Rattus norvegicus: one gene and its partners. The protein of the gene in region 1 purifies or fractionates together with the protein of each later gene. This does not show direct contact. Links are inferred from orthologs where the notes say so. Each region holds a gene or a part of one and is shown on either strand. Other genes may lie near its edges. The genes, in order: Nf2, Amotl1 and Amotl2.

Evidence for each region.
Region 2: the proteins of Nf2 (region 1) and Amotl1 purify together in Homo sapiens (affinity purification with mass spectrometry; 6 studies listed by BioGRID and IntAct, counting the BioPlex papers as one, with this or other methods). This does not show direct contact. The link is inferred for Rattus norvegicus from reciprocal best matches to the Homo sapiens genes NF2 and AMOTL1.
Region 3: the proteins of Nf2 (region 1) and Amotl2 purify together in Homo sapiens (affinity purification with mass spectrometry; 5 studies listed by BioGRID and IntAct, with this or other methods). This does not show direct contact. The link is inferred for Rattus norvegicus from reciprocal best matches to the Homo sapiens genes NF2 and AMOTL2.

Annotation. Positions count from the first base shown.
Region 1 is NC_086032.1:83,876,957-83,885,079, reverse strand, and holds part of Nf2 (merlin), read left to right. Parts: intron 1-4,602; coding exon 4,603-4,677; intron 4,678-5,779; coding exon 5,780-5,893; intron 5,894-8,123. UniProt on the Homo sapiens protein: Probable regulator of the Hippo/SWH (Sav/Wts/Hpo) signaling pathway, a signaling pathway that plays a pivotal role in tumor suppression by restricting proliferation and promoting apoptosis.
Region 2 is NC_086026.1:19,632,032-19,640,154, forward strand, and holds part of Amotl1 (angiomotin-like protein 1), read right to left. Parts: intron 7,211-8,123; coding exon 7,085-7,210; intron 6,144-7,084; coding exon 5,917-6,143; intron 4,374-5,916; coding exon 4,098-4,373; intron 3,587-4,097; coding exon 3,480-3,586; 3' UTR 1-3,479. UniProt on the Homo sapiens protein: Inhibits the Wnt/beta-catenin signaling pathway, probably by recruiting CTNNB1 to recycling endosomes and hence preventing its translocation to the nucleus.
Region 3 is NC_086026.1:112,183,912-112,192,034, reverse strand, and holds part of Amotl2 (angiomotin-like protein 2), read right to left. Parts: intron 7,188-8,123; coding exon of another isoform or gene 7,126-7,187; coding exon 6,395-7,125; intron 3,620-6,394; coding exon 3,325-3,619; intron 2,511-3,324; coding exon 2,366-2,510; intron 2,097-2,365; coding exon 2,004-2,096; intron 1-2,003. UniProt on the Homo sapiens protein: Regulates the translocation of phosphorylated SRC to peripheral cell-matrix adhesion sites. Required for proper architecture of actin filaments.

The DNA of each region.
Region 1 (8,123 bases):
TATTTGGCTTTCTGTTTCTTTGTATTTTAAGTGTGGTCTGTATTAAGCTCCCTGTGTACTGTGTTTGGTACATGTAGTGGAAAGCTGTGCATGTGTACCTGCATGTAAAAAAATTTTTTGTGGGGGGAAGAGGGGGCTGCTTTTTGTTTTGCTTTTTAACTGAGTTTCACTATGTAGTCCTGGCTAGACTTGGACTTGCTATATAGACCAGGCCAGCCTTCAACTCTGCTTCCTGAATGCTGGGATTAAAGGCATATACCACCATGCCAGGTTGATAGCTATATATTTATAAGGGGTGTGTTAGTCAAGATTCTCTAAAGAAACAACTGATGGGATGAATGTGCATATTAAAAGAGAATTAGACTGGCTTATAGCATGAAGTCCAAGTACTCCAACAATGGCCATCTCACACTGGCGAATGGAATGGAGAATCCAGGAGTGTCCAATCCACAAGGCTGGATCTCTCTTCAGTCTCGGTCTGTATTTAAGACCTGGAAGATTCCTGAAGAGCAGCTGTTTAGTTTGTGCTGTAAGCCCAATGAAGTTGGTTCTAACACTGTACGGAGTGAATGCTATAGCAACAGGGTAGATGAGCTTGCTACCAAGGGAGCCAAAGCAAACTCCTCCTTCTGTGTCCTCTTATGGGGCCGCTAGAAAATATGGCCAGATTTAGGCTTCATTATCTGATTAAGAAAACCCCTTGGGAGGGGTTGGGGATTTAGCTCAGCGGTAGAGCGCTTGCCTAGCGGTCCCCAGCTCCAAAAAAAAAAAAGTTGAAAAAAGAAAACCCCTTGGGGCTGGAGAGATGACTCAGTGGTTAACAGCACTGACTCCTCTTCCAGAGGTCCTGAGCTCAATTCCCATCAACCACTGAGTTGGGATCACAACCACCTGTAATGGGATCTGGTGCCATTAATGGGATCTTCTGGTGTGTCTGAGGACAGCAACAGTGTATTCATATACATAATTTATTTATATGAATGAAGATAACAGGCTGCCATATTTCTAAGGGTTACTTGAGAATAAAGTTTGAGGGACTTAAATAACATTAATTGGGTTAAAATATTTCTATGTAGTGCAAAATGGCCTATACTCCTACCTAGGCCTCCTAAATTCTGGGCTTACAGGTATGAACCACAGAGTTGATTCACATATTTCCATATAAGATGACTTTCTCCAAATGCAATAGTCCTGTTTTATGTATTAATTCTGTTTATGTTTACAAGATGGTGCTGGGGATCAAACCCAGAGCCTTGCTGCAAGGCAGTTATATTCCACTGAGCATCTCCCTGTCTTCCTACTCATTGATTTTTAAAGAAATGTGTTATTAATTACTACTACTACTACTACTATTACTACTACTACTACTATTACTACTATTATTTTGTTTTTAGAGACAGTGTTTCTCTGTGTAACAGCCCTGGCTGTCCAGGAAGCTCACTCTTTGACTATGCTGGCCTTGAACTCACAGAGACTCACCTGCCCTTGTTTCCTGAGTGCTAGGATTAAAGGCATGCGCCACCATGCCCAGCTTAAAGGAATTGTTGGACTTCATGCCAGGCAAAGATAGAGCAAACAGAGATGCAGAAAGTGAAGTATTAGCTCTCAAGGAAGTCTGGTTCAGAATGACTTGACTGCTCTAGTGCGTAAGTGCAGTGTGGGCTGTGAGATGGCCCAGCGAGTAAAGGTGCTTGAGACCCTCATGTTGGAAAAGAGGATGAAGTCCTACAGGTTGTACTCTGATCTTCACAGGTGGGCCGGGGAAGGTGCCTTCTCCTTCCATAAATAAATGAGTGAAGTGGAAGGGCTGGTAATGTGGTTGCTCTAGTTCTGTATGTGCTAGCCCTGGCTGTCTGATCAAGTCCTCAGAATTAACTTACTGTAAAGGCAGGGATACATTCAGTATCCATGTCACCAGAAAACAGATACACTGAGATCTTGTGTCTGATGAGGGAAGTGACGAGGACTGGGAGCTAAGGTGCCTGATGCCAGAGCTCCTGCTTATCAGAGTGGCCCAGAGTCTGGACCCTAAGAACGCAAGACACCAGGCAGGAGGCAGGCCTAGACAGTGAATAACAGGTATGGTTTATGTTGCCTGCTTTTGGTTTGGTTTGGTTTGGTTTGGTCCCCCCCTGACTCTCTTGACAGAGTTTTGCTGCATGACCTCTTGTCTCAGTTTTAAACGTTGGGGTTACAGGTGTGCATCATCACACCAAATTCAAAATGAACTGGCTTGTTTTACATTTATTTATTTACTTACTGGAGGAAGGGGTGTAGCATGTGCCAGGGTGGTTGTGTAGAGGTCAGGGGACAACTTGTTAGGAGTCTTTTTCTCTCCTTATATTATGTAGGTCACAGAGATGAAACTCAGTTTTGAAGGATTGGTGACACTCACCTTAACCAGCTGAGCCATTTGCCAGGCCAGTTGCATTTCTTAATCCTAGCATTCTGGCTGTGGTTTTTATAACTGGTTGTCCTGGGACGTGAGCCTTAGGTAGCTCTCCTCTTCAAGTTCTTAAATTGGAAACTCCACATGACTTAACATAGTGGGCGTGTCACAGTGGAACTGTTGCTTTACCCCTCAATTTCACAAAGGCTGTTCACTACACATCACATATATTTGCACATTAAATTTTCAAATATGTGTTTTTCAGAGAGCACAAGGATTAAGGTCCCCTGGTATGACCTGACACAACAAACTAATGTGCCCTCTCTAGGGGTAAGAGACCATCATGTTCCATCACATCAGTTCCTTATGTGGCAAGCAGACCCCAAGCTACCTTGGCATGCCATAATAGGAAATAGTTTTGGGAGTCTCTATGGCAGTCGTCCTGCTAAAACAGAAGTGTTGGTTCATTTTGATTCTTCTGTATGGTCTGGTGTGAAAAACAGAGCCTGGGGTTTCCCTACTACTTGTGTCTTCTTACTGACAGCTCTAGGGTTCTGTAGCAAGGCTAGAAATAAGCTTATGAAATTCATAAATAATACTCCATACCAGAGGAATACTATGACTAAATTAACTTGACCCAAACCCAAACTAAGGACTTTCTTTCTTTCTTTCTTTCTTTCTTTCTTTCTTTCTTTCTCTCTTTCTCTCTTTCTCTCTTTCTCTCTTTCTCTCTTTCTCTCTTTCTCTCTTTCTCTCTTTCTTTCTTTCTTTCTTTCTCTCTCTCTTTCTCTCTCTCTCTTTCTCTCTTTCTTTCTTTCTTTATTTATTTATCTTATTTATTTTTGGTCCTATGTGTGCTCATTTCTCGTTGGACAATATAAGCATGTAAAGAAATACCTTCCCTGTGAGTTTATTTGCTAAGCAACTCATTCTTTTTGTTTTGTTTTTCATTTTATATTTTGTGGTCCTTAGGATGGAAGCCACATACAGGCAAGAGCTGTACCTCTGGGTTAGTCTTTTTTTCCCTGCTTTGCTGGGGTGGCCATAAAATTCTTTCTTGGGAATGTGTCTGCACTTTTACAATGTTTGTAGCATATGCTAATTGTATAAAGTAATGGGTGTCATTATGACGTTTTCATATGTGCATATAAAGTACTTTGATCTAGATAGCTTGTTTCGTTTTGTTTTTGATGTGAGTCTTGCTATGTATTCCTGACTGACCTGGAAATCTATATAGAACAGTCTCGCTTTGAACTTGTGATCTTCCTCCCTATGCCTTCTACCAGTATGACAGGTATGTGTTACCATATCCAGCTTAGAGACACCTTCCAGGGACATCCCTGGAGTCGAGGATCATTCTGGTCTCCTCAGTGGTTGGAGTAGCAGTCGCTGAGTTTGTGTTTCAGTTTCCCTTGCTACATTGTCACTTGCTTTTCATCTTGATTTCAGAAACTACGCATTTCTCTTTTAGAGCAACCCCTTTTCTTCACACTATTCCTTCCCTTACATCTTTGACCACTGACCATGTTCAGAAATTACAGGAACTTGCTATATCGTGTCACATCCATTTTAAGCCCTCTGACTTTTTTTATTCTTCACCACCCATCAGCCTTCCTGTTTAAGCCTGCCGTATCATTGCAATTACTAAAAAGCTAATAAGGTTAACATCCCTGCTCCTTCCCTCTCACCGCCGCCGCCTCCTCCTCCCCCTCCCCCCCTTACTTTTCAGTGCTAGAGACTGAATTTATTTATTTGTCCTGTCTAGAATGCCCCTCCTTTGTATCTTTGCTATTCTGCCATATACTTCTAAGACCTGCCATTTGGACTAGGTGAGCTCCAAACCTATGAGATATTTGTGACATGTCCTACCAATGAGACACTAATATATGGTGTTCTCATACTAATATATTGAGTATATTGTTGGATTAAGCCCTACTGGACTGTGAGCTTTCTGAAGGCAGGGAGCTTTGCAGGGTGGCCTCCAGAGCAGGCCCATCCTGGGTTCTAACTGCAGGACTCCACTGACCTTTCCTCACAGCTGCCCAAGGTGGTCAGGTTATCAACTTCTGCAGCCCCAAACTTGGTACCCTGTGCTCCTCTAACTCATCCAGGCCTTATTCCTAGCACCAAGAAGCTAGGACCAGAGGCTGTGTGGTTGCTACTTTTGTGGATTTTTAGTTGGTGTCACAAGAAACTGTACTCTTTTCTTTCAGTTTACTATTAAACCACTGGATAAGAAAATTGATGTCTTTAAATTTAACTCTTCAAAGCTTCGTGTTAATAAGCTGGTAAGTTGAAACCCTGGTTTTCATGACAGAATTAACTTTTCTGAGAAATTGAGTGTGTGTGTGTGTGTGTGTGTGTGTGTGTGTGTGTGTGTGTGTAATTTTGCCCTTTTTTAAAAAGCCTCTCTACCAGGGATCTATCTGGCCCTAGTTTCTCTTGCTAAGAGATGTAAAACGATATTTGACCTAGTAAATACTTTTCTCTTTAGTTTAACCTACAGAGTTAACAAGTTAACTTTTTTTTTTTTTTTTTTTTTTTTTTTTGGTGTGTGAGGGGGCGGGAATGGAGATAGACTCTATGCTTTCCTCGTGCTCAGAAACATTCTACCACTGAGGTATATCTCAGCCCTCCACTTGCCATATTGATTTGCATTTTATAATTTCTAATGAAGTTAAATCTATAATCTGTTGACTAAATCTAATTTCCTGTTTAAATTCTTGTCTCATGTCTTGGCCATTTTCCTCTTGGGTTGGTTGGTTGTTTTCTTTATTAATTATTATCATCTTTATTAATTATTATCACCTTTATTAATTATTATCATCTTTCCTTGTAAGGTTCATCTTCCTTCTATATGATGTCATAACAAGTAAATTTTACCTTTCCTGTCAACACTTTAAAAACCTCTGTCATTTGTTCCTCTGTATTTATTTTTTATTTGAAATCTTTCCTTTTTCAGATTAAAAAAACAAAACAAAACTCTATCTTCAAATCTTTCAAAGTTACCTTTGAAACTGGAATCAGCTTTTGACATGAGGGAGAAGGCCCAAATATTTCTTTCCGCATGAATAGCCTTTGACCCCACCCAACTTTTTGGTTGGTCTTTCTGTCCTCTTGATTTGCCTTGCCATACCTTGGCTTAGGAGACTGTGGTATGTATGTGGGTGACTAATGGTGGCTTCTCCCACTTGAGATCTTTACTCCTGGATTCCCTGAGGCACTTGTATATGTTTCCAGAGAGCACTGGAAGCGTCAGCAAGGCTTTTGTGTTTTATTCCACTTTTGGTCTTCCCCAGGTTTACAAAGCCAGGATGCTATGACATTGTGGGCTGGGAGGCAGCCAAGTAAATTTACATGCTTAATATGTTTTTATTTCCTTGGCCACAGATTCTTCAGCTGTGTATTGGGAACCATGACCTATTTATGAGGAGAAGGAAAGCTGACTCTTTAGAAGTTCAGCAGATGAAAGCCCAGGCCAGGGAAGAGAAGGCAAGAAAACAGGTGAGAAGGTCTTGGTTGTCTCACTTGGTTTGTGTATGTGTGTCTATGTGCTCTTGATTTGGAGACCACAGGTCAGCCTGGGGTATCATTTCTCAAGAGCCATCTACTTTGTCTTTTGAGGCAGTGTGTCTCAGTAGACCAGGGACTCAGTGATAAATTTAAGCCAGCAAGCCTAGGATTCTGTCCGTCTCTACCTCCCCAGTATGCTGCCATGCCTGGCCTTTTTCCTGGGTGCTAGGGATCAAACCCATGTTTGCCTAGCAAGAGCTTTCTTAACTGAGATTTCTTCCAGTCTGTAGTTAGTTTGTTTGTGTGGGACACATTCTTGCTATATAGTTCTGACTGGCCATGTACACTCTGGCATTTAGTCAGGCCTCAAACTCGAGACAGTTTTCTTGCCTCAGCCTCTAATTCAGGGATCACTGACATGTGCCATCATGCCCAGCTCAGGTATGACTTTAGGGCAAACACGGTGGCAAGCTTGGCGTTGTGCATTTGATACCTGAAGGCCCTCGAAAGATGGAACAAGAATTAACTCGACAGAATTGTCCCCTGACATCCACCCCTGTGCCATAGGACATGCGCCACACATGCTTTCTCATACACATGACAATAAAGCAATACCTTGCTTTAGGGGTTGGGGATTTAGCTCAGTGGTAGAGCGCTTGTCTAGCAAGCTCAAGGGCCTGGGTTCGGTCCCCAGCTCTGAAAAAAAGAAAAAAGAAAAAGAAAAAAAAAAAAAAACCAAAACAAAACAAAAAAAAAAAACCTTGCTTTAATTGATATTGCTTTTGGTTGGTCTTGGCCTACAAGGTAAGGGATGGCTGTTGCCAGCTAGACTCTTTCTTTTCTTTTTTTCGGATCTGGGGACCGAACCCAGGGCCTTGCACTTGCTAGGCAAACGCTCTACCACTGAGCCAAATCCCCAACCCCGTTCCGGCTAGACTCTTATGGTTATAGATGTACCTGCTCTTATTACATTGCTAATGCCTGGATAGTGGGATGTCAGCTATAGAAACAAGCATGTGGGCTGTTAAGATGGCTCAGTGGGTAAAGGTTTGCTACCAAATCTGACAACCTGAGTTTAATACTCAGAGTGAGGTAGAAGGAGAAAACTGACTTCTACAAGTTGTCCTCTGACTGCCACATGCATACTTACATATACAAATAAATAAACATAATAAAAAGTTTAAGGGAAATTCATACTAAGTTCTAATTTTAACATATCTTAACATAATTTTAACATATCTTTTAAAAAAAAAACCAAGAACATTTCTGTACTTCAAGTGTGATCATAGACTGGGAGTCAGGCGTGGTTTTGTCTCTGTCTGTCTAGCTGTCTTTATTGTGGGTCTCCTCTGCCAGGTCAGTGCCCTTTCTAATTAGATGGTGATAGAATACAGGGCAGCATTTCAGTGTGTGCTGTGGAATGCTAATTAGGCTCTCAGCTGCAGTCTTCACTGCAGGTCAACCTGGGTACACGTGGCTGGCCCTCCGAAGGGGGTGCTGTAGCACCTATCCGCAGACTCTCAGGCCTTCTCTGCTCACTGACATCCACAGCTGAATTGAGCCTTCCTGCTGCGAATATCAATTGTGCTTGGGATGAACTGTTTGATAGAGTAGCTGCAGCTGCGCTTGGTCCCCCTCAGGACTTGAGTGCTCAGAGGTGTAATAATTAGTCTGTGTGGTATTCTCTGATTTGGGAGCCACAGAGAGGCTGGCTCCAAGCCCCAGGCTTTATAGAGAAATGCCCAATTTGAGCCAGTGAGCTGTGAGCTTGCCCTCTGTTTGTTGTCTGGGAGAGTAGGCCATCAGTTTGCTCTTTAGGGTGCTTTAAGAGTGATGGTGTAGGTTCTGTTGATCAAAAATGTGCTACTGAGCTACCATGGGGTGTAGTGATGACTTAAGAAGCATGCTCTTGGGGGCCCGAGAGAAGGCTCAAGGGTTAAGAGCACTGTCTGCACTTCTTTTTTTTTTTTTTTCTGGAGCTGGGGACAGAACCCAGGCAGGGCCTTGCACTTGCTAGGCAAGCGCTCTACAACTGAGCTAAATCCCCAGCCCCCTAGCTGCACTTCCAGAGGTCCTGAGTTCAATTCCCAACAACCACATGGTGGCTCACAACCATCTGTAATGAGATCTGATGCCCTCTTCTGGTGTGTCTGAAGACAGCTACAGTGTACTCATATATAATAAATAAATCTTAAAAGAAGATTGACTTGACTCTTAAGTA
Region 2 (8,123 bases), on another chromosome or scaffold:
CACAAGGGACCTGCCTGGAAACACCTTGTGTCATGGTCATCCCCTGTCTCCCAGATTGGCCTTATCCGACTGCTCACACAAGTCTCTGGGACTCAGAAGGCTGTGGGGAGGACAGGACCCAGCACACTAGCTCTTGGAAAGGAGGAGTTTCAGCCACTTTATTAAATGTGTGGCGCAGGTGGCTGGGGCCAAGCAGGACAGAGCCTCTCTGTAGGGGACACTGCGGCTTCTTTCTTGAGTGCTGAAACCGCTGGGTTCTCTGTACTGAGGCCAGAATTCACTTGCCTCTAAATGCACTCACAGCAAAAGGTCAAGCCCCATACATGGGCTCCAAAGAGAGACTTCTCTCTGAACAACACTGGCCCCACCATTCCTTGTCTCCACCCCTAAGGAAAGCAGGGTGTGGGGCAGTCACCGCTGAAGGCCACAGCCTTTACCTGTCCTTTATCCCGAGAGGAGACCGTCAAGCTCTATGATCAAAGGCTCCAAGAGATCTGAGGAGGAGCCCTCTGCACCACGAGGAAGGGCTTTGACTTATTTTTATCGGCTTTGTACTTGTGCTTGTAACAGACCGTGAAGACTTCCATCCACGCCTGTGGATGGCAGTGGTATGGTTAGTTATATGGGGTTTGGGTTTAGTCCTGTTTTCAGGCCCCGAGAGGAGCGTCAGCTTCCCTATGTGCACACAAGTGTCACAAGTTGGGCCACCGATCACCCAGGCATAGTTCTAGATATCATGTTCAAGGCTGTGCAGCCTGTGACTGAGACTCCTCTTCTGAGTCTTTGCTTTAAGTGCTAGCCTCTGTGTCAAGCTTGGAGGTGGGCTGGTACACCTCACGGGTCCAGCTTCTGCATCTGAGCAATCAGGAGAGTGAACTCGGCCTCGTTTCCCTGATGCTGTGAGGGCCATTCAACGGGTACTTTTTCTAGTGCTTGCACAGTCAGTACCAAAGTACCTATGCAGTACTGTTGTTCCCGGTGTTGAAGGAGTTCAGGTCCCATGAACTTCCCGGAGTACAACATGGCTTCTGAGTGCCTGGGGCTCACGCTTCAAGAGAATTACAAGGACAGAAGACTGAAGGGCCTCGACCTTAAAGACATAGCCTCTCTCTTCTTCAACATGGATTCTTAGGCAAAATCTACACTCCACATGCAGTTAAAGCCTAGTCTGCGCCCCCTTTGCTTTTGAACAACTGAAACGTACTAACAGTATGGGGGAGAAGGTATGGGGGAGGGGGTATGGGGGAGAGGGTATGGGGGAGAGGGTATGCTGGAACAGGAGATTTCCTGTCCAAGTGTACAATGTGTCTGGAACACTTAGACTAGAATTTGAGTAAGGGGCAGTGCCCCACTCCTATGCTGGGAGACAGCCTAAGTTTGGGGTGGCTCAGACATTGCTCCAGGGCTGGAATATCTCATTAATTACCCATCTCTATACCCTTCCCTTTCTGGGTTGTCTCCAACATTAACTGGAGACAATATGCTCTTAAGAGAATTAGTTGCCGTCAACCAAACAACATGCCCTATCCAAAATGATTCCTACACCCACCTGCTTCATCTTCCAGCCCCACCTCAACTGGCAAGACTTCTTATGCTGTCCTCTCATCCCCTTCCCTGCAGAGCACAGGGCAAGCTAGGGCTACAAGGTCTGAGAGAAGAGGTTAAGGAGGGGGTGGGGGACTCCAAGCCTGGTTCCCACTGCCATGTGCAGCATGGGGAAGCCAGTCCCACCTCCTCTGTCTTGTCAGATGGCCCAGGGTCCTGTAGGGAGACACGATTGCTCTCTCCTCCCTATCCCCCCTCCCCCTCTTCTCTGCTCTCCAGGCTAATCTCTCACAATACACGTGCCACCTCAACCTGGGGAGGCCACAGTCTCACCCTAGGGACAAGTCAGAGATCTCCGAGCCAAGCTAGATTCAGCGCTGCATTTAAGAGGGACTTAGAGTCACAGAGTTACCACTTTTCTTTTTTCTCTTGAGCAAAGAAGGAATGAGGAAGGGGACTTGGAAAACAAATCCTACTGATCTGGGGATAGATAGTTCAGGAGCCTGAAGGGCCACCCGTGCTATGGGCAGCGTCTCCTGGGGTTTGTAGGAAGCTAGTGTCCCCAGCAATGAACATGAGACCTTGTGGCAGCAGCCTCGGGGCCTGTCTCTCGCTCACAGGGGTTCGCTTCCATGACATTGCTGCTTCACTTCAGGGAAGTCCTGTCCCTCGGGTGACACTGACCGTGCTGCCAGTCTACCAGCCTGATGGGCTACGAAGCAAATTCACAGGAAGAAAGAACTGATCAGGGACGGCACTGTGCTCATCAACAGGAGCCAGGGCAGAAGGAGGCCAGAGGGAGCAATGAACAGAACTGAGAGCTTCCGATACAGAAAGTGGCTGGGGGATGCCTGTGAGATCTCGCAGCCACCCAGAGAGCTCTGCATAAGCCATCATGGGGTTCCTGTGGTGCCTGCTCACAAGGAAGCCTTCCTACAGGGCATTGGGGTGTGACTGTCAAGTTCCTTGCAAGAGAGCGGATGTGAATGAGAGGCACATCAGGGCACGATGTTACCCTATCTATCGACTCATGGACTCCTCATCCAAGTTTCCCTAGCTCACAGTAAGATTGACAGCTGCAGTTTGGCTAAGCAGAGGTGTGGGGAAGCAGCCGGGGTGTCAACAGGAGGCTCTGTCCAATTGGACACCACAGCATGGATGGTAGTCTCCTAAGTCCCATACGTAAGGAACTCTGCTATGTCTAATTAAACAGAAAAAAATTACAACAAAATAATAAGTAGAGACAAGACAGATAAGTTCAAAGAAGTCAGGGCGGATGAGGGCCAAGGGCATCTCTCTCCCATCCTGCTCAGAAAATACCATTCAATCCAGACAAGCAAAGCCTCACACTCTCTGAAACCACAAACCACAAATGAAAACAGCCAAGAAGGTGACAAAACTTGCCTGTGGAATCCCCCATTATCCTGGATGTATCTGCTAAGGACACACACACACACACACACACACACACACACACACACACACACACACACACACACTACATTATGCCAAGATTCTTCTTAAACCAAACCTGCTAAGAGACAAAGGGAAGAAGGTCATTCCAAGGAAAGGCTGGCTTTTCTTCATCTGTTTATCAGCCAAGAACGGGGAAGCATGGAACCTCCCCAAAACATACAATTTCTCTACAATGGAAAATTCCACTCCTCCTCAACTCTGCTTCTCAGCCTGCATGCGTTCTCTTTCACTCCCTCTGCAGACAAGTGAGCCAGCTGCGTTGGTAACACTGTGACACGAGCCAGCTGCGTTGGTAACACTGTGACACGAGCCAGCTGCGTTGGTAACACTGTGACACGGTGTCCACAGCTGTCCTGGTTTTGCAGTTGCTACTGCAACTGACCATCTGGATCTTCTCTCTTCTTGCAGCCTCTAGTGCGTCTGTCAGCATGCTGGCACCACACTCCACAGGACGACGGTTAGATGAGCACTTCCATTATCTCTCCATCCGGGAACTCAGGCTTCTGCAACAAGCTGCTGACTCGGCCTCTGTGTTCTGATGACTTCCCGTGCCCAGGAGAGTTCTCTGCCAGACAGAGGACAGATATCAGAAACCTGTTACTCAGTGGGTACCTTGGTTTACGGGGAATTTTTATGGTGGAACCATTTCTAACGTCACACCTTGCCCAAGAATCTCATACACCCCGGTGGAGGCTATGCGAATCTCTTGGTGGGAAGTGCACAATGACTGGAGGCAGCGCCCAGAGAAGACGGTGTCTTAGGGTTCTGGACTGAGTAAAAACTAAGGAGAAAGCCAGCTGCAGACCTGACTCCCCCCATTTCCTGTCTGCCCAGATGTGAGCAAGTGCCTCCTACTTCAGTCACTGCTACTTTGACGGATGGATTGTCCCTCAAACCATGAGCAAATCCTTCCTCCCTCAAATTACTTCTTATGTCTGTTCTACCTATCCCCTGGGGATACACCTTAGTCCCATGCAACAAAGAACACACGACCTGAGGTGATGACCACCACTGAACACGGGGGTTGACTGGACTTCCTGATCTCTCTAGGCACGGGAGAGATAGGGGCCACATACCCTGTTTCTCCACGGTTCCTTTGGCAGCTGGATGTTTCAGGACGGGGCTGTTGGAAGGGGCGGTGCTGAGCCTGCCGCGGCTCGGGAGGGAAGCCATGCTGGGCCAGAAGAGCTCAGTGATCTTGTCGGTCTGCGTGCTGCTGTCCTTGCTGCCTGTCTTGGCGTGGGTGCTGCTGGCTGATGTGGTGGAGGTCGGCGGGGACAGTGCAGAGGCAGGTGTGGCTGGCAGCAGAGGGGCAGAAGCCTGTCCCTGGTGCTCCTTCCCCAGCAGGAATCCTGAAGGCAGAAGAAGCAGCTTTTCAAGGATAATGTTTTCTCTCAAGTCCTTTTGTAAGAACACTTACCCTTTTCTTCCTAGATCAGGGATAACTTTATTTACTCAATGATATATCCATTAAACCCTTAAGTACTTGTGTGCATTCTTGATGAAGTGAAGTATTATGTATCAAGTCCATATAACTAAATTCTGTATGGAGTTGGTATTTGCATTCTAAATTCAAACAATGGAAAACCATATTTGACCGGTGGGGTAGCTCGGAAGGAAAAAGGGCCTTTTGCTGCCCTGAATCCCATCTTATTGATGCCCGGCGAAACTCCGGAGTGAGACGCAGTCATCTAGTAGTAGGGGAAGAGAAGGGATGGACAAGTGCTCCTGGGAGCTGCTCAGCAATTAGGAAGGTAGACACCATGGTCCTCATCAGCTCTTCAGGCCCATCATGGGTGAAATGGGAAACCCTAAGGTCCTATGCAGAAGCCTGTGAGGGTGGTTTCCACCCGAACCCCAGATCCCCTCTTGTCTCTATGACTGATGTGAGGGCCCCAGTCACATTGACAAGGAGGTAGTCTGGTGCAGACAATATGGCCAGTCTTCCTTAGGCCTCAACTCTCTGGCCTTGTACTGACCTGCTAAATGTTGAGAGAGAAGCCCAGGCACCGTGATGTGTACCTGAATCATCACACAGATTTCTCCTAGAGCAGTTTCTGGCAGAACTGAACAAATTTAGACTCCTCAACCAAACCTGCCTCACTGTCCGTGTGATGGGCTTTAATAATCACAGTTCCCATCCCTGTAGATCCTCTCTGATGAGCTAAGGTTATTGGGGTCACCAATAGAGGGACATCAAACAGATGAGATTCTGGTTGAGAGTCTTTGATCCCCCTACTCTGTGGGTTCATACGGAAGCCCTTATACCCTGTGGAATAAATCAGCCAGACACCACGGAGGCCCTGTGCTGGAGAACATTGACTCCGGGTATAGAGAGAAATGAAAATGTGTGCTGAGCAGGGGACAGGTGTAAGAAGGGACAGACACTGGCAGGCAGGGCGAGGGGAGAGGTGGTCTTGGAAGCTTCCTTTCCAAGCTCACTGGCCCAGCCTGTGAACAAGCATGTCTGTGCTAAGACCCCTGCTGGAGAATTCTCAACATCCCACATACACAACACAGGCTGACCCTCATCCTTGACCCTGACCCCTTTCATGTTCCACAGGTATAGAACACATCATGGGAAGTTACAGAGATGGTCCAGGATTCTGAGGGACTCTAGGCTTATCCTGCTGAGACACTTTATGTTTTTCTTGTTAATTATATTGACAAGAATCAATCCATGCCCAAGAGCTCACATAGCCTTTGGAATCCAAAGCTCTCCTGTGTATCTCATTTAACCCTCACAACCCCACATGGCTGGCTTTCCTCCCCCTTTGAAGAATGCATAAATTGACAAAAGATGACACCCCAAGATCCAGCAGTGATAAGGCGGCCAATTCAGGGCTTCTGTAGGTGCCGCTCTATATGCTCTTTTCTACGGGGTCCTCTTCTCACCTATACTCCCCTTCCAGGTCTTCTCTTCCTTCTTGTCTTCTGCCAGCTGGCCGCTGGTCAGTGAAGTCTGACGGGAATGTGTCCCGGTGGCCGCAGCAATGGATGGGACAGAGCGGGCAGGCCGCAGACTGGAAGAGTCAGTCTTCCCAGCATCCTTACGGGATCGCTGCTGCAGGACTTTTATCATGGCATCCTTCTCTATGATTTTGGCATGGAGGTTTTTAATACTGTAAAACCAAACCATGGAAGAACAAAGGTGTGATTAAAATGCCAGTTAGATAGAAAACTCTGCAACACTTGTCTCAGGGACTTTCACAGTAATTCTGGGATATGGGGTTGAGAGTGGCAGAGGCGGTCTGCAACTTTCCCAAGCTGTGCTTCCCAAAGTAGATCAAACAGTGCACCTTCCCTGGCACCTCAGCAGATGGGGGAGACCCAGGGGCCTGTGAGAAGGACAGGAGCCATCTGCTAGGAACTCTGAGGACTAAACTAAGGACACCTGTGGCTCACATTTGGGGGTAAAGAGTGGAGGTGTGAACACCAGGGAAGCAGAAGCTCTGGTCCCACACGAGGTAAACTGTGACTGCAGGGAAATGTCTATGGGGAAGGAAAAGTGAAGAAATGGCTGGGTTCTAGGAGAGAAGATGGCTTCCCCACCGATGGCCAAAGATGAGAAGCAGAAAGCCGGGGGTCTTTCCACAACTCACAGATACTTGCTGAACCTATTTCTGGTTCCGTTGGGAAGCCCTTTCTTCATATCAGCCCATGGGAGCCTCAGGCATTCCAGTGACATCACAACTCCTGCTGGACACTGTCCATCCGTCAGGGGAGCACATGCTGGCTGGTTAGAGCTCTTTATCTTTGGTGGGAATAGGTAACTCTGGCCCCCAATCTCTAGACCTTGGGGATGGTATTTCTGTTTCATTCTCAGCTCATAGGATTGTGGAGGTAGGGCAAAACCGCCCAGAACTTTCAGGGACTGATGGAGACTCCAGTTATTAGACAGCCTCCGTCTTCACCTTTCCCCTCTCCAGAGCAGGAGGCTTTGAAGCCCTTAAGCTCATGCCAGTTAGAACCAAGGAAAGTAGGAGAGTGAGGAGGGCCTGGCATGGGAGTCCAGCACCTGCTGGTATCCACTCAGAGCTGGCATCTTATGTGGGTATCTTACGTGTACTCCATGTCCTGACACCGCCTGTTGGCCTGCACCACCTCCTCTTCCTCTGGCCAGATGTGGGCCTCCAGGGAGCTCTCACCATAGCTGCCATTCCTTGAGTGGTTGCTGATGGTAGTGTCCCTAGGAAACGAGACACACTTTGACTCTAGAGCCCCCTTTCCTTGGTCTTCAATGCAAACACAAGTAGAACGGAGAGAGCAGCATTTGCTTGGTAACAGATGCGCTTTACCTTCTAGAGGACATCAAAGGCCCTCCTCCACCTCCAGGACCCTACCTCAGGGTCAGTGTCTCCAGGATGGGAACTCCTGCAAACATCTCAGGAAATGTGAATCAGGGGCAGCAGCTGCAAAGTGTCCCAGAAAAGCCCCCATCTGGCAGCTCACCCCAAATCTTGGCTCAATTTTCTCTCCAAACTTAAAGAATTAAGACTCTAAGGGCTGCACTCACCAACACTCCTGCTTACTGCAGCTTTAACCTGCACCAGACACACCGCTTTCTGCAGCAGGCAGATTGTTACACGGAGTACAGGGAATGAGTGGATGCAGAGAGCGATCTCAGGGAGCATCGTGGAAAATGGGGCAGAGATGGAAAGAGCTGGATGGAGGACGGGAGGACAGCTGCGAGCTCGTGTCGTCAGCCAAGTGACACCCAGGAACCCTCCAAAGCTATGGCTGTCTGCACAAGACCCGTGCAAGCCAGTCACCATTCTAGCATGGACGGGGAGGGGGAGACTTCACAAGATACCGTGCTTAGCTGAGGAAGTAGGGCTAGTTAGTGGAGAGAGAGAGAGAGAGAGAGAGAGAGAGAGAGAGAGAGAGAGAGAGAACTGGGAGAGACAGAAATACACAGAGAGATAACAGAGATACACAGAGAGAGACAGAGACAGAGAGACAGGGAGAGATAGAGATACACAGAGAGAGGGGGAGAGAGGGAGAGACAAAGAAACACACATAACACAGAGAGAGGACATGAATTCAAGAGAGGATTATGGCAAGGGGAGGGACTTAGAAGGAGGGATGGCTAAGATAAAAAT
Region 3 (8,123 bases), on another chromosome or scaffold:
CTCGGGGTCTGAATAATATCCAGCCTCACTCCAGCCCTAGCAGTACTAGGAAGTAGATACTTCCGTACCGCGTGCCAGCCCAACGTAACGCCTGTGCAAAGCAGGCAGGACCAGTAGTCAGGCCTCAGCCAGCTCCTGAAGGCCCAACAGGCTATGCAGGCAGAGCTGGGGGCTGCTGCTATGACTCGTTAAAGGGTGAGCCAGTGGCTTATGGGGGGGATTCTGTACCCTCCAGAAATAAGGGTCAACCTCAGCCATTTCGGAATGGCAGTTACATAACAAAAAAACGACAACAACAAAAACCTGTGAATGCTAGGGTTTTTCTTAGTTCCTAGGGGCTGTGGATCCGGTTTTGTTGTTATTGTTGTGTTTCCAGATGCCTTGTACAATCTCTAAGACACCATGGTTGCCAGTGGGAGGCTGAGTCTACTTAGCAGGCTCCCCACATTCAGGTCCCAGCCTCTCTTTGTGCTCATGCTCTCTCCTCCCAAAGCTAGGCAGGGCGCCACCAGGGCGAAGGGCGCCACTGTCAGGCGCGCAGGGAGGGGGATGCGAGGGGAGGGAACGGAGGGGGACGGGCTGGGAGCGGAACAGCCCAGCGGCTCTGGAATGCCAGGCATCCAGGTCACCGCGGCTGCAGAGATTAATGGCTCCAGCAAGAAGCCAAGAACAGCCTGGCGCTAGCTCGCTCCCCGGGGAGCGGAAACGCCTCCCGGCTGCTTCTGCCCCCCTCCCCCTCTGCAGGCTTCCAGAAACCCTCCCTAAGACTTCCTTTCTTTGCCACTGGGTCCAAAATCCACCCCTCCCACCAAAGCACCCCTAACTTCCCAGTCTTCTGCAGACTCCCAAGGGCAAACCCTTAGGCGACACACCTCTTTCCCCTTCACCTCTGTTCTAGAGACCTTTAACCACCCCGTTTTGAAAGGTAGTAGTGGATAGCCTAGGTCTTGCCCAATCTGAGCCCATTTCCTGCCAAACTTACAAATACTCTTAAGTCCCTGAAGGAAGAGGGTGAGGGGGCGGCTGCCATCCAGAAGCCCCCCTCTCTAGAGTCTTCACCTCTTTAAACACTTCAAAGTACTCTCATAAGTATCCTTCCTTTTTACCTACAAGTCTGCCATTTCCCCTCAGTGTCTGAGACCTCCTCCTGCGGCCTCCATGCTTCGGCTGGTCCCAGAAAATCTGGGGTCACTAGGGCCTTCCTAATCTCAAACCTCCAGCTCAAGAACACTTTTCCCCTGTACCTGTTAAGCTCATCTCACCTCCCTGCCATTTTCTGGATGAATTCCTACCCTGTGCTGGCCAGGTGCTTAGCTCAGCTCAACTAATGAAGCTCCCGGGATGCCTGGAAAGATATACTTATTATATATATAAGAGTTCACTGTAGCTGTCTTCAGACAACATCAGGAGAAGGCATCCAGATCTCATTACAGATGGTTGTAAACCACCGTGTGGTTGCTGGGAATTGAACTCAGGACCTCTGGAAGAGCAGTCAGTGGCTCTTAACCACTGAGCCATCTCTCCAGCCCGGACCTCATTATTTTAAAGAGAAACTTTATGAATGCCTCCTTTAGACCGGAGCTGTTGACCAAACCCATTTGCGGCTACCCTAAGGACGCTCTGCCAGCTCAACCATCCCCTGTAGCTTCTTGTGTCCCCAGCCTTTCTGTTGCCTGGAATTGCTAGGAAACTCTGAAGAACCAGCACTGTCCTCCATTTAACTATAGCCAGGACTGTCATGGCCTCCCTACAGAAGGGACTAATGCTGTACTGAGAGTCCCTACTGTGTGGCTCAGCCAGTTACTGTTCCCTAGTCCCCATCCAACTTTGGAAACCACCCCTTCCCACAGCAGCCATTCAGCAAAACTGTTCCTGAAGTACCACTCTGCCAGGAAGCGGGTTAAACCTCAAGGGGAAGGGAGTGGTCGTGGCAGTGGGGTCACGTCATAGTGGCCTCATGGCCTGTACACCCACCCAGGTTTCTCAAATGGTCCCCTACTCACTCTGAGCAAGCAGTTTAGCCACCATGTCCTGACTGCCCGCCTGGGCTTCCTGGGTCTTGCTTGCCAGGTGGCGGTTTGCGGACTCCAATCTCTCTGTTTCAAATAAGGAGAAAAGAGGTTTTTAACACCCAGGGATGCTGTTAGCCTGGACTTTAATCTTGGCCCTAACTGTATGCTCACACCCTCTAAGCTGGGGAGATGGGATTATAAGGAAGTCCCAGCTCAGATCAGAGCCCAATGATGAGGGCTAATGTAGGCCTCAATAGTGTAGAATTGAATTTCCTCCCTAAAACAGAGCCCCGCCCCAAAGTCTGACAGATGATGTCCTCCCAACGTCCCCAACCCATGAGCCCAGTTCTCACCTCTAAGGTCTCGGTTAAAGTCCTGTAACCGTCTCATTTCACTGTCCATCTTGTTCCTCATGGTCTTCTCCAGGGCCTCACGCTTGGACGAGGTCCTCATCAGGCTCTCATGGGCCTCTGAGAGCCGCTGGATTTCATTTTCCAGCTGTAAGAGAAAGACAATAAATTCACTGTCAGGAAGGGTCCCAGGGAGGGAGGCCAGTGGATCTAGTGAGATTACCACAGGACTGCAGCCTCTTAGGTAGGCCAGACTACTGCCTGGACCCTGGGCTAGATGTTCTTCAAGGGTGGTATGGTACCTCCAGCCTGCCCCGTGCCTAGTGTTTACCAAGGACCAGGGATGAGGATATAGGTGGTTCAGCCTATTCAGAATGCTGTAGATAGATGGTAAGTGGAAGGCCTGAGGCTATTGCTAAAGTTGAGCCTTAGTACACAATTGGCTAGGCTTCCCCCGAGGAAGTGGGGGTGCCAGACCCCAGCCTGAGCTGCCTCTGCCCAGAGCATGTGGCTGCCCCTCCCACTTGGAAGCCACAGGTCTTCCACGTGCTCCTAGCTGGCTTGCTTTGCCAACACGTTGCTTTTTCTTCTCCCTAAGAGGAGGGGCTTTCTCTTTGGCCAGAGCTGGCCTGGAACAGACTGGCTGTTGTGTGGGTGCACAAAGGGCTCTCTGTGGGAGGTGTCCACAGGGGGGGCTGTGCAGGGCGAGGGTACAAGTGTGCAGTGAGCTAGTGAATGAGTTCTTTCTAACCACCACTGGCCAGCAACTGCTCATGCAACAGGGCAGGCCTCTTGGCTGTTCCTCAGCTGTCTGGAGTCAGCTTGGGGTGTGTGTGTGTGTGTGTGTGTGTGTGTGTGTGTGTGTGTGTGTGCATGTGCTGCAGAAGGCAGCCTGATAGGCTTCCCTGCTCCTCTGCCTCCCTCTGCACTGCCCACACAGGAGTGCCTTCGGGAGTCCCCACCTTTTCTATGCAGCTGGCCTTCTCTGAAGTGCTCTCCAGCTCTCTCTGCAACCGCTCATTGTCCCTCTGCAGCCTGGCGTTCTCCCTCAGCACGCTCTCCATCTGGGCCAGGTGGGCACTGCCCGAAGTGGCCTGGGCACCGGGTGGTCCCTCCAGGGCAGGTGGACTGAAGGAACTTGGGGGACCATGGCCTAGAGCGGCTGGATGGAGGGGTGGGGAGTGCTCCTGGGGTTGCTGCAGGTACTGGTACTGTTGCTGCTGGAGGAAAACCGGTGGTACCTGTGCCTGCAGGATCCTGGAAGAGAAGAGGTGATCGGAGCTCAGAGATGGACACACAGACAGACACACACTCACTGGCTATTATTGCCGATGATTGAGCCTCCCCGGCTTTAGGGAGCTACTATAGGGAGAGCCTGTGCCACAAGGTTATGTGCCTAAGATTCGAAGAGTTAGAGAGTGGGACCCGTGTGCAGGGTGCTGCATCCTGACGTTCGTTCTGTTCACAGCTGCCTTAGGGATCAGCCCAAGCCATCCTAGTTGTCCCAAGCAAATACAGCTTAAACATTATCTTTAAAAACGCACCCTTGACCTTTTGAATTGATAGAAGGTTCTTTGGGGATGGGAGCCACACAAAATCCCAGGTATGGGGTGTGGGGGTAAAGGGATTCGGGCAGGTAAGCCAAGTCAGCTAAAGCAGCACACCTGAGTTTTCCCCTCTCTGTTTCAGGGTCCTGCTACCCCCAACTACTAAAACTCTTTTCAAAGACCCCCCAGCTAAGGTGACAGCAGAGAATCAGAAGAGCTCAGTCTCACAAACGGGGACAGATTTCAGCTCCCGCTGCTGCTAGGCCTTCAGCAAACCAGTGCTGTGTCTGCCAAGTGTCACCTGTGTCTGCTAAATCACGAGGAGCCACAGAAGCTGGGCTTGACACCAGTGACAGCAGGTTCGCCCATGACTGTCTAGACTCCATCTCTGTAGGTGAGCAACTCAGTTTATGAAGAACAAGGGGCCACCTCTGGATTAGCTCAACAGCGGAGCTCAGGACTGCGTTCTACCGGCCCTTGGCCATGAGTGTAACACATCCTCATGCTCTAATAGAGAACAGAGTGAGGCACAGGTAGTCACAGGGCCTTTCTGGGGCCTTGTAACCCTAAGAGTCACAACCGCCTTCTCAGTTATACTAAGAATTTTCCAGAAGCCTCTTGGAAGTTGGATTTCACTTCTGGGCCAACCCCCCCCAACCCCCCCCCACCCCCCCCAACTCCCAGTGTTCAAAAATCGTCCCTGTAGCCTATGGCTCCCCTGTTCTTTGAGCCCCTGACTCAGTCCCTAACAAATAAATACTCCTCATCTGGTGAGCCAAGGAAAAAGCCTGCATGTGCTTTTTCCTACCAGCTCCAGGGAGAGCAGGGTAGAGAGCGCCACTGGCCTGGCTAAACTCTCCCTTGCTGCCAAGTGTGGTCACTCTCAGGGTGGCCTCAGAAAACTGTTGTCCCCCTCCACCCTTCCCTGCCCCCCACAGGCCAGGCAGACACAACTGACATTCTTCAAGAATGATTTAGCCCCAGAGAAGAATAGCGACTCCTTTCCGTTGTTCACACTCACTCCTGGTTCTTCATTTCCCACTGCCCTCCTCCCTGTCTTTTTGTTCTCCTGCAAACAGCCCACTTCCTTGCCTGGATATTATCTTTTCCTGGCAGGGTTCAAGAGGGCTGGTCCAAAAGAAGAAACTCTTCCTGACCGGCCCTGAGGTGGGAGGCGAGGTGGGGATCCAGGAGGCTGGAGTAAACCCACGAGGGCCCAGGGCCACCACTCTCTTCAATTGGTGGGAAAACCAATTGGTGGGAAATAGAGGGACCAAATGAGGACTCAGCAAGGGCAAAGTGAGCCAGACACTGACCTTGAACCCAGAGGATCTCCAGGTTAGGTTCCCTGGAGCCCCACCTCACCCCACCTCCAGGGAGATACAGCAGCAGTGCCTGTTTCTCTGGAAAAGGCGCAGGGGCCAGCTAAGATGACTAAGGTGGCCCCTCATTTCTAGGAACCTGGACTCCGGCAGTGATCTAGCTTCCTGCTTGCTCTCGTTGGTCTCCCACCTCTATGACCCATTCTCTAAGGCTGATATTGATATCTCTTATAAGAGTTGATCAGCACGCACACACACACACACACACACACACACACCCAAGACTTCACATTCAGTCAAGCCAAGTCACTACCCTGGGTTAACAGCATTCTGAGCCTCCACCAAAAAACAAACAAACAAACAAACAAACCAAAACCACTCACTCACCTAGGCCCACAATGACAAGCACAAGGGACACCCTAATAAGTAATTAACTGGCAGACAAGGCAGAACTGTACAGAAGTGGCTTAGCGAGCCACCTAGTTCTTTCAGCCTCATTAGCAACACATCCCAATGACTGACGACAACAACCAAAAATGCCCACTTTTTCTTAAAAACCTTCCAGAAGTTCCACCTTTGGCCTACTTAACTCGGAGCAGTTTGGTAAGGGTTCCCATTGTCTTTAATTAGTCCTTTCTTTAAAAGAAAAAAAAACTCTCACCTTTGAACCCCCCTTCACATCCCCTGGGACCCTCCCCTCCTTATTTGAATGCTATAGACAATGCCATCTATATTCTGAGTTAAAACAATGATGTCAGTTTCTTTTTGTTTTAGACAGTCTTGCTACTTAGCCCAGGATGGTGGTCAACTTGTGATCTTCCTGCCTCACCTAAATATTTCAGGCATGTGCTTCCATAACTGGATCAGCTAAGTCCTCCCATCCCTCCAGCCACCAGCCCTCCCTTCTCAAGACAAAAGAGAGTAGATTGGGGTTGGGGATTTAGCTCAGTGGTAGAGCGCTTACCTAGGAAGCGCAAGGCCCTGGGTTCGGTCCCCAGCTCCGAAGGAAAAAAAAAAAAGAGAGTAGATTTACATCAGACAGCCCCAGGAGCTGATGGGGGTGCCCTGGGATCGGGATCATGACATGAAAGTTGAGATCCTCGACATGTATGATATTGGGGTTCTCCTCCTGGGACACTGAACTAGAAGAAACCCAAGGTTACCTGACTTCAGCATGCTGGAAGTGTGGGCTGCTTCTCGGACGGTATCTTGGGTCATTGACAGCCGCAGTCTCCTGAGCCATTACAGCGTGTGGGTACTGAGGTGGTGGCCCACGGGGCTCCGGGCCCTCAGCTGGGGGTCCTCGGGGCTGGGGACCTTGCTGGCTGCGGGCCAGCTGAGGGAAACTGTGGGAAGAGCTCATGTGGCTGGGGACCCGGGCACCATTTCTTTCCAGGGACAGCTGCAGAAGTCGTTCACTCAAGGAGCGCACATGGCCGTGCCTCAACTCTCGAAGAGCCTCATCCTGACGTCGGCTGCCTCCTGAGGCCCCTCTAGGATCCCGGTCCCCACCATGCAGCCGGGAGCCTGCCTGCTGCGCTGCATAGTACTGCGAATGGGCTTTGGCTTCCTCATAGGTGGGCAGCTCTTCTCCCTTGCTGGGCTGTGGGCAGAGTCGGTACAGCCTGTTCTCTGCCAGGTGGGTCTCTCCACCCTGATGCTCCTGGCCCTGGGGCTCCTGCCTGGTGGCCTGCTGTAGCACCTGACTGTCCTCGGGTGCTCCGATCTCCAGGGAGGCCTGGGGGCTCCCTGTGCCCCCAGCTCCAGCCCCACCCCGCAGGGCCTGCTGCTGGATGGCCAACAGAGTGCGAGTCTCTGTCAGGTTGCCGTAGCGCAGCTGCTCCTGGATGAGGCGGTGCAGGACTGTCCCTGAGGAGTCTTCCAGTGTCCTCATGCTTCTCTGGCTTGCACACACCTGCCTAGACAATGGCCAGCAGGCACCTGGTCTCAGAGCACCTAACAGACAGAAAGAATAGCAGTCAGTGGAAGCACATACAAAGGAGGGAGGGGCACTTGCCAAAACACTCTGGATGAAGGAGAAGGTGAGATAGTTGGGTGGTTTTACACAGGCCCAGATCCAAGTGCCAATATGGCCATCAATTGATTAAGTTTAGTTACTGAGCTTCTGATCTTAGTCTGCCGTGTGTGTGTGTGTGTGTGTGTGTGTGTGTGTGTGTGTGTGTGCCTCTTGGGAGTTGAAATGTAAGAGGTAGAACGCCTGGCATGCTATAAATCCTTGGCAAATGCTTACCATTCTAAGGACATGTATGGAGACCACAGAAATACAACAGAAAACCTGAAGGTTATCTAATAATCACACTCGCCTACAATCAGCCACTACCCCCAAACGCTCTCACGAGTGACCCCAGGACAGGTGTCCATCAAATTCAACCACTTAAGCAGTAGGACCTCAGTTTACTCGCAGAGTGGCCAAAGACAGAATGTAGCCCAGTAGAAAGAAGCCCTAAGCAAATGACTCCATTGACTGTTTCGAATGAGGAGGCTTGAGCCACCATAGTCCACCACCCTCCACTGGCTTCTCTTCCAGGAGTCGGACCCTGGGCTGCAGATAAAATAAATCCTTGTCACAGATGACCTTCGCAGTCACTCTGCAAGGTGAGCAGCCTGAGAAGCTGCATGTGAACTGGTGAGGCAGAGGTGTGACTGCAGTAATTGAGCCAGCAAAATATTGATCCTCCTCCTCCTTTCTTCACACACACACACATACAAACTTAGAAAAGCCTCTACTTGTACCCTAGAGGTACACAGGGGATGACCCTCTGTATCTCTGTTGATATTAGTAACGACCACCTATGCCAGTTGATGGGGTAATGAGGTGAGGGGGAAGACGAAGGAAGGGCTCGTGGGGATGTGGCCCCTTTCTCTTCCGTG